Linked DNA regions of Solanum lycopersicum. The protein of the gene in region 2 interacts with the protein of the main gene of each other region in a pairwise test. Links are inferred from orthologs where the notes say so. Each region holds a gene or a part of one and is shown on either strand. Other genes may lie near its edges. The genes, in order: ethylene-responsive transcription factor 12, protein LSD1 and iron-regulated transporter 2 precursor.

Region 1 (4,843 bases), about 3.1 Mb from region 2:
AAAGTTTCCTAATTTTCTATATAATCTATGACTTGGTCTAGTATTGCTGCGAGCTTTAATTTTTACTTGAAATGGAGATTTTTTTATTATTTTTGACCAATTCAACATACAATGATTGTCACAATTTTGTAGCATTAATTTAGAAAAGTTAAATAATTTTAAATATGGAACAGTAAAATGTTTGACTAAACTATGATGACAAGCCGCCCCATTAATTATACCTTATAATATTATACACCTAAACTGTCATTGTCATTAACTTTAATTATCACACTAAAACAGTTAGTATAATCATTTAATTATTGCCATTTATCAGCTGCATGCATGCTACCGGCAATATTTTCTTGGTATTAAAAGATTTCTGCTTTTTTTTGGATATTTTATTGACAAACATTACAGGTTTTTTTTATATTATAATGTTTGTGCTTATTCATTACTCCATTTGGTTAAAGAACTTATCCATCCTTTTAGGTAAATTAGTATAAATTTTATTTTTATACATGGATAATTTGTCGAAGTGAACTTCAAAAGACTGGACCCACCAATACCAACAGATACTTTAAAAAAAATTAAATATTGTTAAAATAAATCAAGCTTTAATAAGACAATTCACTACACTATTTTTATATGTCTGTCTTAAGCTTTTCTTTATTTTCATATTATATAATAGCCCCACGTACACCCCATTTCATAAAGCCAAAAAAAAGACCTCATCCATTAATAACCCCAATTTCTGGGGATTAATTTGTTGGTCCCCCCTCCCCTCGAAAACAAAAAATCAGATTCCTCTATACTATAATCTATTTTATGACTTATTTTATAACCTTACTATTTTTTCCTGGTACGTTCTCTCAATATAATGGACCCCTTAGCAAGAAATACGAGACAAATATATATTAAATGGTGTACATACTATTTAGTTATATTTTGTTATAAATAAGTTAGTATTCTTTCTTCGCAGTTTCATTCTGTCGTACAGTGAAATTTATTATTAATTGAAGTCGATTAGAATAATTGTAAGTTTTAATTTTTCCATTACAAAATCAACATGGACGTTGGATACAAAACGAAGTTTTGAGTTTCAACTTCTTAGTTCTAATATGTTAAGAAATAATGGCAAAGCCGAAATTTATATTAAGAAGGTTAAAATATTAAAAAATTAAACACTTTAAAAAGTTTGAATGGATCCCCTTACTTTCATATGGCTCTGCGAATAAAAGAATTCATCAATCTTCTAAGACTAAAGCGTTGAATTTTTACAAAAATGTAAAGTGGTATCGAAGAATTAGTTGCTGGTGTCCATTGAATTGAACTTATTATCAAATAAATTCATAAATTTAGTTTATTTCTTAAAAAATTCAAAAGTGGCACCGAAAGTTTTTTTTTTTTTTGGGCCAAAAATAAAGTTCGAGCTCTAATAGTAGTTACACTGATTTTCACCAAAATATACTTAAAAGTTTGCCTTTTGTTGATTGGATTTTGTACCCCATCCACTTTTTATCCATTAAAACCAATTTCTGTCAATCATCCACCATATTAAAATCTATTTAGCACTTCATGTCTTGGATAATTAATAAACTAATTAAGTTAATCTCTTACCAAAACGTACTCATCACAATCAAAATGGATCCCATTCGAAAGTAAATGTAATTAGATGAATAAAATTATAACTTATACATTAATGGGAAGTAGAGAAAAAATCTAAGCATGTATGCTTATCAGCCTGCTATAGTTAATATTGAAAGTAGATTTAGGTCAAAAATAATTATTTTTGCTGAGTAAATTTGTACTATTTAGGGACAATCCTTTGATACTATGTAAGATTTTTCAACCTAAGTTAGTTATTATTATAATAATAATAATAATAAGTCACTTTCTGCGTTTACCCTTTTTCTATACATAACTGGCCTAATTAATTGTAATGCTCTTTCATGCGCCACCTGAAAAGGTGAAATTAAATATCATGTCTCAAAAATCTACCACATCTCAATTGAACAACAAACAAATAAAGTTAATTTAATATGTCAAACATGTACGTATATTTTCACACGTGCAATCATATCGCACAGGTGCGAATCTAGAATGGATCGTGAATGTTAGTAAATAATTTACAAAATTTAATAATTTATGAAAATTCATCTCGATTTATATTCACACAAAAAAAATTTGAATAATATATATATAGGAACACAATTGTTGCGCAAATGTACGTTTTGGACGTATACATTAATTTACTGTATAAAATGTTTTTTTTAAAAAAAAATTAGACTAAAAAGTACAGACAAAGTACTTCAGTTTTATGATGAGCGTGGTACAAAAATATGGAGAATTTGGATTAATATTTAAATAAAAAGGGTATTTACATAATGATGTGCTTCCTCCTAATAATAACATTAATATATTTTCTTCTTTTTTTTCTACTTTTCTTCATAGAAATTACCTTTCTCCCAAAAGCTTGAAAATAGAGAGAATGACAAAAATGAAAAAAAAAAAACAAAAAACGTAATTTTACTAAGTCATTAATTATCCGCCGCCGCCTCCTCACATCCACAACGGCGGCGGTTCGTTCAAGTCAATAGGCAACCCACGTCTCACAATCCCAAAATACATAGCTGCAGCTCCAACATCGTTTTCCTTCGCCGGCGCAGCGACGGTGACCGGCAAGTTAAGTTCCGGCGGCGGACCTACTTGTAGAAACTCTCCAATCATGAGCCTACGTCCGGAGGGGGAAGTCCACCGGTGATCAGATGGAAGGTTGAGATCGAGTGTAAGAGGAGCGGAAGAAGGCTGCGGCGGCGGCGGCGGAGGAGGGGGGAAGTTTGTTTTTGCTTTAGCGCCGCGGAGTGAACGGGCGGCGCCGTCGTAAGCGAGTGCCGCTTCTTCTGGAGTGTCGAAAGTGCCTAACCAGACACGTGTTTTCTTCCACGGGTCGCGAATCTCTGCGGCGTAACGGCCCCAGGGACGCTTTCTCACTCCTCTGTAGTGACCCTCACGAGTGGAAGCCATGGAAATGGGGGAGGAGAGAGAGAGGGGGGGATTTAGAGAGAGAAAGTGTATGAGTGTTGTGTTTGTGTGGGGTTTTGGGAGCTAAAAAAGAGTATATTTGGGCAGCAGTAGTAAAAATAAAAAAGGGACCCACGCAGACACCCGTAATCGTCGGTTGGACGGCACGACCTCTCTCCTAAAATAGGCAAAATATTTAGGTGAACATGTGTTTGGTCGGAAGGAAAATGTTCCGAAATTATAAACAGGCTCTTAAAAAATGAACGAATACTTTTATCATTTCATGGTACTGTATTTTAATACTTATTTTTGGAGAATCGGTTAGTAAGTTACATAAAAATAATGTTAAATAAAATATAGTAATAATGTCTATATTAATTATATATAAAGAGAGATTTTTTTCTTATGCGTTTGATTTGATCTATTAAAAATAACATGTATAATACAAAAAATATTTATTTATAAAAATATTCTGCACTATTATACTAAAAAGCTATAAAAAGAATTTTGAAGGATAGTAGGGTCTTTACTCATACTAATACATATGTTAAATCATTAGCATTAATTGTTGTAGTAAGTTACAAATTTAGGGGCGAATAAAAATTAATTTTACTTAGCAAAACTTAAATAAATAAGAAAAATCATATATAGTAGGGGTATTATTTCGAAAGAGAAAAAAACTAGGTAGCATGGTATACGCCATTGTTTTGACATATCAAACTAAAAATAGGTGAAGTAATAGTTAAACATATGCGATTTCAATAAATTATTTTGCAAATAAACAATTATATATCTTATATTTTACAAATTCTATAGTCATGCTATAGATGGAATGATAAATATAGACTTTTGGTAATGGTAAGTCGGTCCTAAAAAGAGAAAATTTTCTTTCTCTCTTGTTTCTAAATTGCTTCCATGAGAAGCTACAAACTTCGATGAAGTAGTAGTATTTCTTTGATAAGATATACACTCCTGATTTTTCACAAAGGCAGGTGACAACTTTTAAGGAAAATTTACAAAGATATTGTATTTAAGACTATGATTTATAATATAAAATCATATTACATAAACATAATTATTTAATTTGATTTTAGTAAATACTTATGTCCTTCAACGTTGAATATGCACAAATAGATATTTAAATTTGTATAAAATAAAATAAGTAGATACAAATGTTTACATGGCACAATACATCTAGAACGTCATGTAGGACAATAAATTGCCATGTAAAGTATTATGTAGAACAAATGTGTTCATTTGCTTAATTTTATATAAATTTAAGTGTTTACTTGTGCACACCCAAAATTAAATGTCATAGTTTTCAACCGAGTCAAGTTAAGATTCATGTTTATGTATTATGTCTATATAAAATATAACTTTTCTTATTTACAAAATAAATCTTTTAATTAAAAATATGATAATTTAAATTAATAAATATTTTTTAATTTTATTTTTGGTTTTTAAGTCACTAGTGAAGTCGTTTGAAGAATTTGCAAGTTTGTTCTAATTATGGTGGATTCAATTAATCTTTCATTTCCACCCACGTTTCTAAAAAATCTCTTTCTTAGTATTGATAAAGATTAAGAAATAGCCTAAAGTCAAAATACAACAGGGGATAATATTTTTTAAAATCCAACTTTTAGCCTATAGTTTAATTCCACTGATGATAAATTGACGAACGTATAATTTACTTGCATCAAAATCACGTGGGTTGATTCGATTCTAGAAAAAATTATGTCTACAATTGAAGTTACTATTGAAACTAACATATTTTGAAGACAGAAACTATTTTAGCGGAGCAGCTGCACTTTATTTTTAAAAAATTAAAACATATTAATTG
Region 2 (6,089 bases):
AATCCATGATATGAAGCAAGGCTAATCGCTATAATCTACTGATTCCTATAGGTTCAGACTATTAAGTGGAGAAGGAAGAACCAGAGAAGAGCAGCTTAAACAGAGACAAACCCAACAATTCTCCATGAGTAACAATGACTCGGGAATTGGCTATTTTGAAGCATCAACAACAACATGTTCACTGTGCTAATTATTCCCTTCTTATCTTCTTCAATTCCGATCATTCTAATATCATAAATCTTACTATTTACATAAAAGGCTCAACATTGTCATTTTGATTGATTTGCATCACCCTTGAGCAACAAAATAAAAAAACTTACCCGCACTGGTGTTTACACCAACCAATGCATGCAAGACAAGTCTTTCATACACTCATTTTATCACTTATTTACAGTCAAGTTGATATATATTCTCACTTTAAATTGTAATTAAACTAAGACAATATGGTAGTTGGCTATTCTCTGATCCTAACAAAGTAAGTAAATATTATATTACGCACAAAATAGAATTCTCATTACCAAAAGCACAATCTTAAAATTCATTCCTCTTTGTTATTTTACTTCTTTAACTATATGGACCAAGCATCAGCTAAAATTTTTACCAAAGATCAAAAAGAAAAATGAATCATCATACTCACATTAACATTGGTAATATAATGGCATACTGCACATTTAACCGATGGAGCTCCACATGGATACATCAGCATCATACGGCAGTTCCCGCAGTAGACATGAGCAAACTGGTTTGGACCTGAAGATCGACAGCACAATTATATGTCATCCAGGTAACAAGAAACCTAAGCTCTATCGAATGTACAAATCCTCAAACACAAACAATTCATGTAGCTCTTTACCCTATTAAATTCTAGTGAAAGATAGAACATGCAAATGATTCAGGTATAGTCCCCTTAAAATTCAATGAGTTACTATCTCATCTTAAACATCTGTCTTTACCGCTTAGCTCTAGTAAAAGGCACCTGATTTTGCACATAACATTAGTGCCCAATCAGCATTGTGACACTACATTTCTTACTTCTTGGAATGGTCAACCTACAAATGTTGTTGCCTTCAGGACCACCATCCAACTTCAAATAATGTAGCTTCTGACCAAGGGAAGAATGAAAAAATATATTCCCAGCACTATAAACAAGATAGAAGACCTAGGGGGAAAGAAAACTTTTGAGATTGGAAAGGAAAGAGAACAATTCAATATACACCCACTCTGGTTACTCATGCATAGATTCCAGTAATATCTTCTTAAAACCAAAAAAGACACATAGGAACAGACTAGTCAATGACATTTAAGAACATGTGCTTGGAGAAAAATGTATACACCAAGTTAAATCCACCAATTACCAGTCATAACTAAGTTCTGTTTGCAAATTACAGATGTGCTGCAAAATGAAGCAGATATGACCAAAAAGTAAAGCTGATAAGAAGATTAAACAGCAGATATCTATATCTTATGTGACTGGCTACTAGTTTACAAAGAGCACCAGATCAGGTTATTATTTTCGAGGAATAACCACACTCAAGAGAAATCAATTGGACTTACACCTATCTGTCAGGCAAAACTTCTGATAAATTGAGCATCAATAGGAAAAAACATAACACAAACATACAATAATGAAGCTTTTTGGTGATCCCATAACCATATTCCACCAAGTCTGACAAAGACATAAATTTATACAGCTCCCTTCCCCCAGGCAAAAGCTTGAAGTGCTCGAAAGTTGTGAATTTCAGCTGGGACCACACTCTAAACTCATAAGTCATAACATAGTTCAACTAAAAACACAACCATACCGAAATGTTCACTTATGTATTACATAGTTAGATCATCAAAGTAATGTTACTCTTCCAACAGATTTTTCTGATGTAATACAAGAATAAAAATGCTGGTATCTCAATTTGAGATCTCATATGATAAACTTTTGATGAATATGTAGGAAAAAGATCTCATATGATAAATGAAAACAACCGAAGGTCAAGCTTAAGTGGATAATATCAAAAGTTAGATTCATATTCTGTTCAAATGAAGGAAACATTTCATTCCAGCAAAGAGACACTAGATTTTCATAACCAGACAAACATTAGTCTCCGAAATCAAGGGAAGGGATGTTATAAACTGTACCTGGGACAAGGTTCACCGTATGACAGCAGGAGCATCTCACACTGTTCGCTCCACGTGGATGCATAAGTAATGTACGACAGCCTCCACATATCAATTGAGCCATTTCCATTCCTGAGAAAGATCAAAATTTAAGCAACACCTTCGAGTAACAGAACACAATAACAACTACGCTTCAATCCATGTCAAGGCAAAACAACAAACAATACTACATCTCAATCCAAACAGATCTATACACCAAGCCTCCCCAAACCTAGCCCACTTTATGGCTTTATTTACCATGTCAGCATCAAGCATAGCGTTACTATTAGATACTCAAAATGTTTTTAAGTGCACTAATTTTCTTTCCTAACAACAATCTTCTAGCAACAACACTTGTAATCAACATGGAAGGGGGCCATAATCCAAAAATCAGCCACACAAATTTGAAAGAAAAAAAAAAGTACTTATAACCACATCAGAATCAAGAAAAGCACAGATACCAGGTGGTGGGACAGGGGTGAGTGCATTGCACACTGCACAGCAGACATTAGAAGCTCCTCTGGGATAAAGAAGCATTGTCCTGCACCCACTGCACATCAACTGACTCTGCATATCTGTCGAACAAAAAACATTAACCAAATAGTAATGGCAAGCTCACAAACTAAATTGCAAAATGATCTTTGAGTTACAGTTCTCAAGATTGTAATAAATCTAAAAGTCCATCATGAAACAATGAACTTCGTCTTAACAATCTCTGTTGAGACAAAAAGGTTTCACCTTTCAATCTGTTTGAATATCGAGTCGTCTGAGGTAGAAGAGCTAATTTCTGCCGATCTGTGAGGTAAATTTATTCTTCCTGCTTGACAAAATGAAAGAGAACAATAAATACTTTTCTTCAAGAAAGTTCCTTTCATAATTATTCATCCAATGGTTGAAGCTACAATCTTTTTTCTCAGGATTCACAGATTATACACACAAGAAAAATTCCTATATCAAGTTTTTCATGCTAAGACGGGTCAAACACAAATCTTACAAAAAAAATTGTTTAATCAAACACCCATAACCATGAGTGTGGCTCATCAACCAGGTTCAAATCTCAGCAGAGGAAGAAAAAGCTAGGTAATTTCTAGAGCTAACCAAAACGAGAGCCCTTGCCCCAAATTCTTCCTACCCACCAACCAAAATTTATCCACAATCAATTACACCCATCACAAACATGATTGAAAAGTAAAAAAAAATATCATGTTTAGCCTACCAAATTAAAAGGGAAAACCCCCCAAGAAATTGGATAAAGAAAAAAAAAGCAATCTTCTTACCAGTCAATGAACAAATCTGGAAGATAGGGTACCCCTCTATTATAATATATATATCCCCACACACGAAAAAAAAAAAATATACAGTGAAGGGTACTTGAGATTATCTGAAAATGGGTTGGAATTCAAATGGAAATCTGAGCGAAAATTCCGACAGAAATTGGGTAAATTCAAGATTTCAAAAGATTGGTTTTTGGATATTTTTCTTACATCTCCTTTTTTCTTCTTGTTAAATATTGGGAATAAATGTCTTTTGACCTGTCTACGAATAAAATAAAATAAAATAAATTCTTCCGCTTTCAATTTATTTATTTTATTTTATTTTTTATAAAATAATTTTTTAATTATAATTTTATATGATATATTTAAAATTGCAAAATTATAACTGAAGCTATTTTTAGATAAGGTATAATGCGTATATATGTTTTACCGAAATTAATATGTGATGTATAGAAGTTAAATATATTATCTATTAAAATTACATATTTAATTTTATACGCAATTCACATAATTTAAAAGAATATTTGTTCATAGCTAGTCAAAGTTTTTTACTTTGCTATTGCTACGCTGCATTAGATTGAAATGAGATTCGAAAAAAATAATGTTATTTTTTAAAAAAATTGTGTTAAAATAAAAATAAAATAAATGAATTGAAATGAGAGAATATAAATATTAATTAAAAATACAGTTATTATTTTTTTTTTTTAAATAAGAAGAAGGCTTTTGAATAAGGAACAGAGAGTATTCCTGTAAATTTTGAAATTTATTTGTCAAATTTTATCCAAACGCGTTAACTTATATTTTCTAATAATTTTTCCTTTTGTTGACATCAAAGATTTCTACGTAAAAATAAATATTTAAAAAATTAAAGAGAGATAGAACCGAGTGATGAGATTTTGTCAACAGAGAAAAAAATTATGACGATAGATTATTTTAATCACAAGATTTGTCATAAAATTTTCTATTAAAGATTAATCATATGTATTCTAGTCATCCCATAAGAATTCTTAATAGTTGATTCTAGAATTCATTTATCATTTAAATATGTACCTCGTCTACAGTCACACTGGATATTTTTTGTCGTAAAATTACATTATAAATATATATATATTAATAGCTTAGCTAAAAATTTTATGAAGGATATTTAAAAATTTTATAGCTCGTAAAAATAATTTAAAAAATGAGTGTCTTTAAATTTTGTAAATCAAACTACAAAATATTAATTATTATTTTTTAAAATTAAAATATACCAAAATTTTTGAAATCAAAGTACATACTAATTTAGCTTTAATGTTTACGTTTATCTATCTCATAAGAGTGAACGAACAAAAAAAAAGATATTTTAGTTTAGAGTAAAATCACTTTTATACTCCAAGATTTCACAAACCTCTGATGACCAACAACGAGAAATGAAAAATAAAAAATAGAATCAAATGAGTTATATTAAAAGAGAATTTATATAAAGTATTTTCACTTTTAGTAGCATTATGAAATAAATAAATAAAATTTGCTTATTAACTTTAAATTAAATAATTTCTTTTAAATTTTATTTAAATTTTCAATGAAAAGAAAAAAAATAGATTTTGCTTATTAAATTTAAATTAAATACTTATTTTCAAACTTTATAAAAGTGTTTAATGAAAAGAAAAAATAAAAGTCAAATAACGGGAATCGAATCTGCACACCGCAACTTGAAAATAACTTAGTAAGAGTTGAACAATTAAAATCACTAAGCTAGAAATTTTTATTGTTTTTTAAGGGTGTCTAAAATATATTATTTAACCATTTAAATTGTTATTTTACTTATTAATACGGCTTAATTTTCTAACAAAGAGTGTCCACCAAAGGGTAGCTACGCCCCCGATATATATATAAATATAAAATGTTAAACAAATTAAAATTAAATGCAATGAATAATAACGTAATTTCAATAATAAATGAAAATAGACTTAAATTTACACATATATTACATTCGTTGAAAGCGTCTTATGTTTTTATTTCTCAACTCAATTAATGTTAAGTATAAAATGAAAAAAATAATTATCTTTTCTTGATATAATGAAAGTATTAAATAAAAGAAATAAATATATTTAAAAAATTTTGGACAAAAAGTATTAAACTGAAGGGGTAATAACATAATTTCAATAATAAATGGGAAGAGACTAAAACTTACACATATTTTGCATTTTTTGAATGTGTTTTATGCCTTTCTTAACAGAAGAGGTAATAACATAATTTCAATGATAAATGAAAAGAGATTGAAACTTACACATAAATCGCATTCATCGCATTCGTTGAATGCGTTTTATGTCCTTTTTTTAAACTCATTTAGTGTTGAGTCTAAGATGAAAAATATTTTTATCGGTATAATAAAAGTATAAAATCAAAGAAATAAATATGTTTCAAAAATATTGGACAAATAATATTAGACAAAAAGGGTAATAACGTAATTTCAACAATAAATAAGAAAAAACTTAAACTTACACATAAATCGCATTCGTTGAATGCGTTTGATGACTTTCTTAACGGAATGGGTATAAAGTTATTTCAACGATAAATAAGAGATTGAAACTTACACATAAATTGCATTCGTTGAATATATTTTATGTCTTTCTTTCTCGGCTCAATTATAGTTGAGTATAAAATGAAAAACAAATATCTTTTATT
Region 3 (6,183 bases), about 380 kb from region 2:
ACGATTAAAGGACTCGTAGCTGCACTTTGCTTTCATCAAATGTTTGAAGGAATGGGCCTTGGTGGTTGCATCCTACAGGCAAGTAGCTATAGTGTTTGTTCATTTTATTACTCGACTATTTGCAAATACATTCACTAATTCAACATTTGCTCTAATACAGGCGGAGTATAAGTTCATGAAGAAGGCTATAATGGCGTTTTTCTTCGCAGTAACAACACCATTTGGTATAGCACTTGGGATAGCATTGTCAACTACTTATGAGGAAAATAGTCCACGGGCGTTAATAACTGTTGGATTACTGAATGCATCATCTGCTGGACTTTTGATATATATGGCTTTGGTTGATCTTCTTGCTGCTGATTTTATGGGTGACAAATTACAAGGCAGTGTCAAACTACAAATTAAGTCTTACATGGCTGTTCTTCTTGGTGCTGGTGGAATGTCAGTCATGGCCATTTGGGCTTAAACTTGTCTTCATATTTTGTTTTGAGTAATAAGTGTGGCCTTCTTTTATCTTCATGACCTATTGTGAGTTGCAAAAAAATTCTGTAAAATACATCATCTTATGTAAGTGTATCCAATGAGTAAACTTTTCCAACTAAATATTCTTCCACAAATTATTAAGAAAAGGAAAAAGGTTTGCTACATTTATAATTTCAAAGAAATCCCCATTCTCATCTGTTGGTATCATTATTTTCCCATTTTATTTCTATTATTTTGACCAAAGATATGATTTTCGCTTCACTCAACACAATAGCTAATCATCTTGCTACATGTCACCCAATCCAAACCTTTGTGATTAGCATCCGCACTAATTTTCCGATGAGAGAATTATTACTATAATTCAACCAAGCAACTTAACGAAAAATTAAGGCATTTAAAGATACACAAGCAGGTTTAATTACTAAAATATTTATTAAGGAACTAAACAAATGAACTAATACGAATGCGGAAATACAACCCCTAGAACGTGAAAGTCAATGTATCAAAACTCTAACAAGATTCATCATCTAAAGAACTAGTCTAAGTCCGAGTAGAATGGACTGTACAAAAAGAGAACTCAAGACAGCCACTAAGAAGTAGCTCACCCTCGAATTCAAATAATCACTCATCTTTTAAGCAATGTCTAGTCAATAGCCGCCGGAAGATACTTTGTACTCAACAAAATGTTCAAAAGTGAAGGTATGTATCAGATTATTTCAAAAAAATCACAAATTTTAAATCAAACTTGTCTACAAATTGTACTAATACAACTTGAATGAATCAACAACTAACTACAACTGAGGTATCAAACATATACATGAATGAATCAACATTCAAGTTATCTAGTACATTGATGTTTCAGAAATTGGTAAATGTAAAGGTTGATACACGATATCAAGTATCAATACTAATTAAGGTTATGTATCAAAATTAATATTTGAACACAATACACTATATATGATAAAATTATAATGTATCATGATGTTGAAACGAAAGCATTACATTAGTTAAAGAAACTCAAAATCAACTAGATACATTAAAAATCTAAACTTACATGTATCAAAAAAGATTGAAAAAGATCAACAATGTGATAGCAAAAATTAACGAAAATGTATCCTCGAACTAATTAGGTAAGCTCAATACTAAAAAAAAAAACCAACAAAATAAAGTGTATCAGAACCGTCACTTAAATTTTTTTGGAACCATTCCAAATGCATTCCAAAAGAATAGTGAGCAAAAGAAGTACTCCATTTTGAAAGAAGAGTGCTACTATAATTAAATTTATTCAGGCGAAATACTAATATACCGCTGGTAGATTACAAATGGATATCCATTATAAACCATTGACTTTGACTATTATAAAACTCCACATAAACAGCTTGAAAACAATTAAGTTATTGTAAAACTAAATAAATGACACGTGGATCATTCTTTAAGAGTCGTCATTTACTTTATTAATATAATGACATGTGAGATTATCTATATTTGAGGTGTAATTATTTGACTAAATGAATAACTTATCAATGATCAAGTATTTAGTTTATATTTTTCTATTGATTATAAATAACATATTTTCTTCGCATAGGAAGAGATTAGAAAAGTTTGCAATATGGCGTATTATTATACTCTCTCTTTACCTGTTCTTATTTTTAATTTAGTTTAGTAATATTAGTTTGTTAGCTAGTTATTTTATAACATAAGTAACAATACTAAAGTGAGGGAAATACATAGCAGTTCAAATTTAACCACGAAATTGAAAAGTACACACGATTACAATTTTGCAATTCAATAAAGGAGGTATTTCACAGACTCATATGAAAAAACAAAGCTAGGCCCATTTGGCCATGAGAGACATTCCACCAGCACCTAAAAGAACAGCCATGTAAGACTTAATTTGTAGTTTGACACTGCCTTGTAATTTGTCACCCATAAAATCAGCAGCAAGAAGATCAACCAAAGCCATATAAATCAAAAGCCCAGCAGATGATGCATTCAGTAATCCAACAGTTATTAACGCCCGTGGGCTAGTTTCCTCATAAGTAGTTGACAATGCCATACCAAGTGCTATACCAAATGGAGTTGTTACTGCGAAGAAAAATGCCATTAGTGTCTTCTTCAAAAACTTGTACTCAGCCTGCATGAAAAAAAATAAAGTTACTATAATAGTAATATATATTTAATTAATGATAGGTACTATTTATTCGGAAAAAAATGAAAACTTGCCTGGAGAATGCAACCACCAAGTCCCATTCCTTCAAACATTTGATGAAAGCAAAGTGCAGCAACTAATCCTTTAATTGTACATGTATTGTTTGAAGCTCCAAGTGAAATTCCTATTACTATTGAGTGAACTATGATTCCCAGCTCTAACACCTGCAAAAACATTACATTTTTATGATGATTTCAATATATGATTTAGAATAAATGAGTTAGAATTAAGGCTATTTAATTAGTCGGCCTGTGTTGATTTTTAATTAAGTTCAAATCAATATGGATGAACCGATTGATTAGCCATAAAAAAAAAAAAACTTAGTCAAAGGGACAAAACGATGTGGATATATTAGGATTTATTAGTAGTAATACATAAACAAATCGACTATGATAGGACAAATTTAAAGTACACAAATAATAGAGATTGTTGTTGACTTTCACCTTATTGAATTGTTTCGTTTCAATAAAATAATGCATGCATACAATATATTATTTATTGTACGGATCAATATATCAAGACAACTCACCACGATCTTTACTCATTACTAAAAAGAAAATGATATATTTTGATTGAATCAATTAGCTAATTAGGTAGGAATAGGATAAGTAATTCATGTTTTATAATACGAAATTCTAACTGATTTAAGGAGGAAAAAGCTTCTATTTCAGCTATCTTATATACTTTTGAAAAAACAGCTATCTTATATACACTAATTATATACACAAATTTTAACTTCTTGTAGTAAGTAGTAGACTAGCAGTAATACGTGGATTTGGCTCCTCTCGATCTATTATATTTTCTCAAGTACATATTTAGATGGACAGTTGTTTTATTTAAAATTTAATATGTACACTAAATCAATTTAACAAAAGTTTTAGCTATAATTAAAGTAGGAAAAAAGATCTCTCCAATTTTGGTAAGAAATATATCACATTAAAGTTGTACTGACAAGTGCCATTAGGCTTCATCAAGTGTAATTTCGATTTTTATTTTCTTATTTAATATTGTGATTTGCTTCCCACTAATCAATTAAAACGAATTACTTTGCTGCTATCAATCAATTCCATTAATTATCATTTATGCTACCTGATTAGTGTCCTAGTAAAGGACAATGACCAAATTAATAAAAGATGAATAAAACTAACCATAGCGATGACTCTATATCGTAGTAATTTAGTGCCTTCAACTCCGTCTTTAGTGGAAAGTGATCCATGATGATGATGTGAATGTCCACCATTTACTGCACCCATTTCTTGATCAGCACCACCAGTTTCTGGATTAACCAAACCAGCTCTATGTTTTTTGCTATACATACTAGTTGCTATAGAGTCAATAGCCATTGTAACTATAGCGGACAACATAGCAACAAATCCAGTGAAGGGGAATTTGTGCCATGGATTCTCCTTAAGGCAACTCGATGACAACATGTCGAATGAGTCAGGAAGCACGTGCATAAACCCCGTAGCCAATATAATTCCGGCAGCAAATGCCTTGACTATCACAAAAAGGTTTCTTTCCGGGCTTAGGGCCGGGATAGAACGTGTGACTAGTGGAAGACAAACTCCGATCATACTAGTGATAAGGATGGAGACTATGGCTATGATTTTTAAGGGTAACGCTTTGGATTTGTTGACACATGAGTTATCTTCTTGCGCTCCACAATCTTCTACTACTGATAAAACTCGAGGGATGAAAATTGATATGAGAATAAAGATGATGGCGATGTGCTTGAAATTATAATCACTCATTGTGCAAATGTAGAGGTTTTTGAATTTTGAGTAGGAATGTGTTTTTTTGTTTGCTTTGGGTTATGATACATGAGAGGTATGATATATATACACACTTAGATATTAAGCTATGATAGATAAAAAAGCAATTCGTTTAAATTAATTAGTTGGAAGCAAATCATGATATTAAATAAGAAGAATATGACATTGAATGATTTTCTATGTATATCATGTACCAACAGCTATAGAGTGATAGAATTTCTTTTTAAAAAAAATATTCCCCTATGTGATTCGAAGAGTTATTACATGGTGGAGAATTTATCAAAGGCGTATAAAGTAGTCACTCGAAGCAGAGAGATTATAACTCCTGAATTTAAAAAAAATACATGTACCTACAAATGGCTACTTTTTTTTAACATATAAGGGCAGGCATGTGTGTATACCCGCTAAACAATGTGGTTTTGATTAATGATTTAATTTTTTTTGCTTGATGCATTACAAAGGCACGTGTTTCAAACGAGTTTTAAGTGGATTTTCCACTTCTTCTTATCCTATACGTGGAATTTACAAAATATAACATTTCATGTTTTATTTTTCAAAAAAAAAAAAGGGTAACGAAGGAATACATACGTTGGAGAATTTTAAGGAATTTATATATGATAAATTAAGATCCAAAAATCTGTTAATTTAAACAGTATCATAATAGTACTTCCATAATCTAAGCCAGCTGTGAGACTTTTGAAAAACTAGAACGTACTATTTTAGTTTATTTTTTGAGAGATGAAGGAGTAATTATTAATTTTGTGATTTAATTTCGTTTCGTATTTAAATAAGTATTTGTTTGACAATAAATTATTCATATAATTTTTATATATCTTATCAATTATTGTGATGTGTAGTATTTTTCACGTGATCTTTAAATATGTAGATTTTCATTCAGAAAAATCTTAGGAATTTCATGTTCGAATTTATAATTAAAAATTAAATTATTTTACTCTTAAATTTAATCGTTTCACGTAAATTTAGGAAAGATGAATATCTATAATTGGAAATAAACATAACAAGAAAGTCTTTTCAAGCTAACAAAATGGAATTGTTTTTTTTTTCGATTTTTTCAACTATTATGGGGACAAAAATTAAATTATTACTATATATATTTTTTTAACTTCTTCTTTCAAGTGCACACATTAACCCCAAAATTACCTCTCCCTTCATCACCCGTACGGAGATGATCTATAGAATTAACTACTTTATCATAAAACGCTTACTTAGCCATAATTAATAAAAAAAAAAAAGGAGTTATTCTCTAAATGCAGGTGTACTGTTCAAAATTAGCTAATCATTGGTGATATTTAAAAACAAAGTCGACATAAATTTGTTTCTTAGTAAGAAAATACTTTGGTATAACAGAAAAAAACTTTTTAAAAAACTTGTATTGACATCATCTCTCAAATTAAATAGAAAGAAACGAATAATGAGAAGCCATCTTTGAGATATATTCTAAATTAGATGCATTAGTTATATATTTCGTACGTTTAGGTACAATAAAGTTTTCTGTCAATAAAATAGAGAATGTCTATCAACAAAAAAAATATTATTCACTAAAATAGTATTATATGTAGAGCCGTCAAAATGAGTTTAGCGCATGGAATCGGATCAGCCATTATTGGAGCAGGGTTAGGATAAAAATTTTCAAGCTCATTTGAAATTGGGAAAATAACAGAAGTTCCACATTTAAATTCTCTTATTACCACTATTTCC

Evidence for each region.
Region 1: the proteins of protein LSD1 (region 2) and ethylene-responsive transcription factor 12 interact in binary tests that used the Arabidopsis thaliana proteins (3 or more experiments, as listed by UniProt). The link is inferred for Solanum lycopersicum from reciprocal best matches to the Arabidopsis thaliana genes LSD1 and ERF12.
Region 3: the proteins of protein LSD1 (region 2) and iron-regulated transporter 2 precursor interact in binary tests that used the Arabidopsis thaliana proteins (3 or more experiments, as listed by UniProt). The link is inferred for Solanum lycopersicum from reciprocal best matches to the Arabidopsis thaliana genes LSD1 and ZIP10.

The regions. Positions count from the first base shown.
Region 1 is NC_090801.1:58,881,928-58,886,770, forward strand, and holds ethylene-responsive transcription factor 12, read right to left. Parts: upstream 3,257-4,843; 5' UTR 3,007-3,256; coding exon 2,542-3,006; 3' UTR 2,313-2,541; downstream 1-2,312.
Region 2 is NC_090801.1:55,746,869-55,752,957, reverse strand, and holds the start of protein LSD1, read right to left. Parts: upstream 3,844-6,089; 5' UTR 3,426-3,843; exon of another isoform or gene 3,143-3,425; intron 2,969-3,142; exon of another isoform or gene 2,966-2,968; 5' UTR 2,887-2,965; intron 2,724-2,886; 5' UTR 2,722-2,723; coding exon 2,610-2,721; intron 2,242-2,609; coding exon 2,131-2,241; intron 751-2,130; coding exon 638-750; intron 1-637.
Region 3 is NC_090801.1:55,364,835-55,371,017, reverse strand, and holds iron-regulated transporter 2 precursor, read right to left. Parts: upstream 4,492-6,183; 5' UTR 4,444-4,491; coding exon 3,841-4,443; intron 2,857-3,840; coding exon 2,707-2,856; intron 2,618-2,706; coding exon 2,312-2,617; 3' UTR 2,200-2,311; downstream 1-2,199. Other genes in the region: iron-regulated transporter 1, read left to right, coding at 1-78, 161-466. UniProt on the Arabidopsis thaliana protein: Probably mediates zinc uptake from the rhizosphere.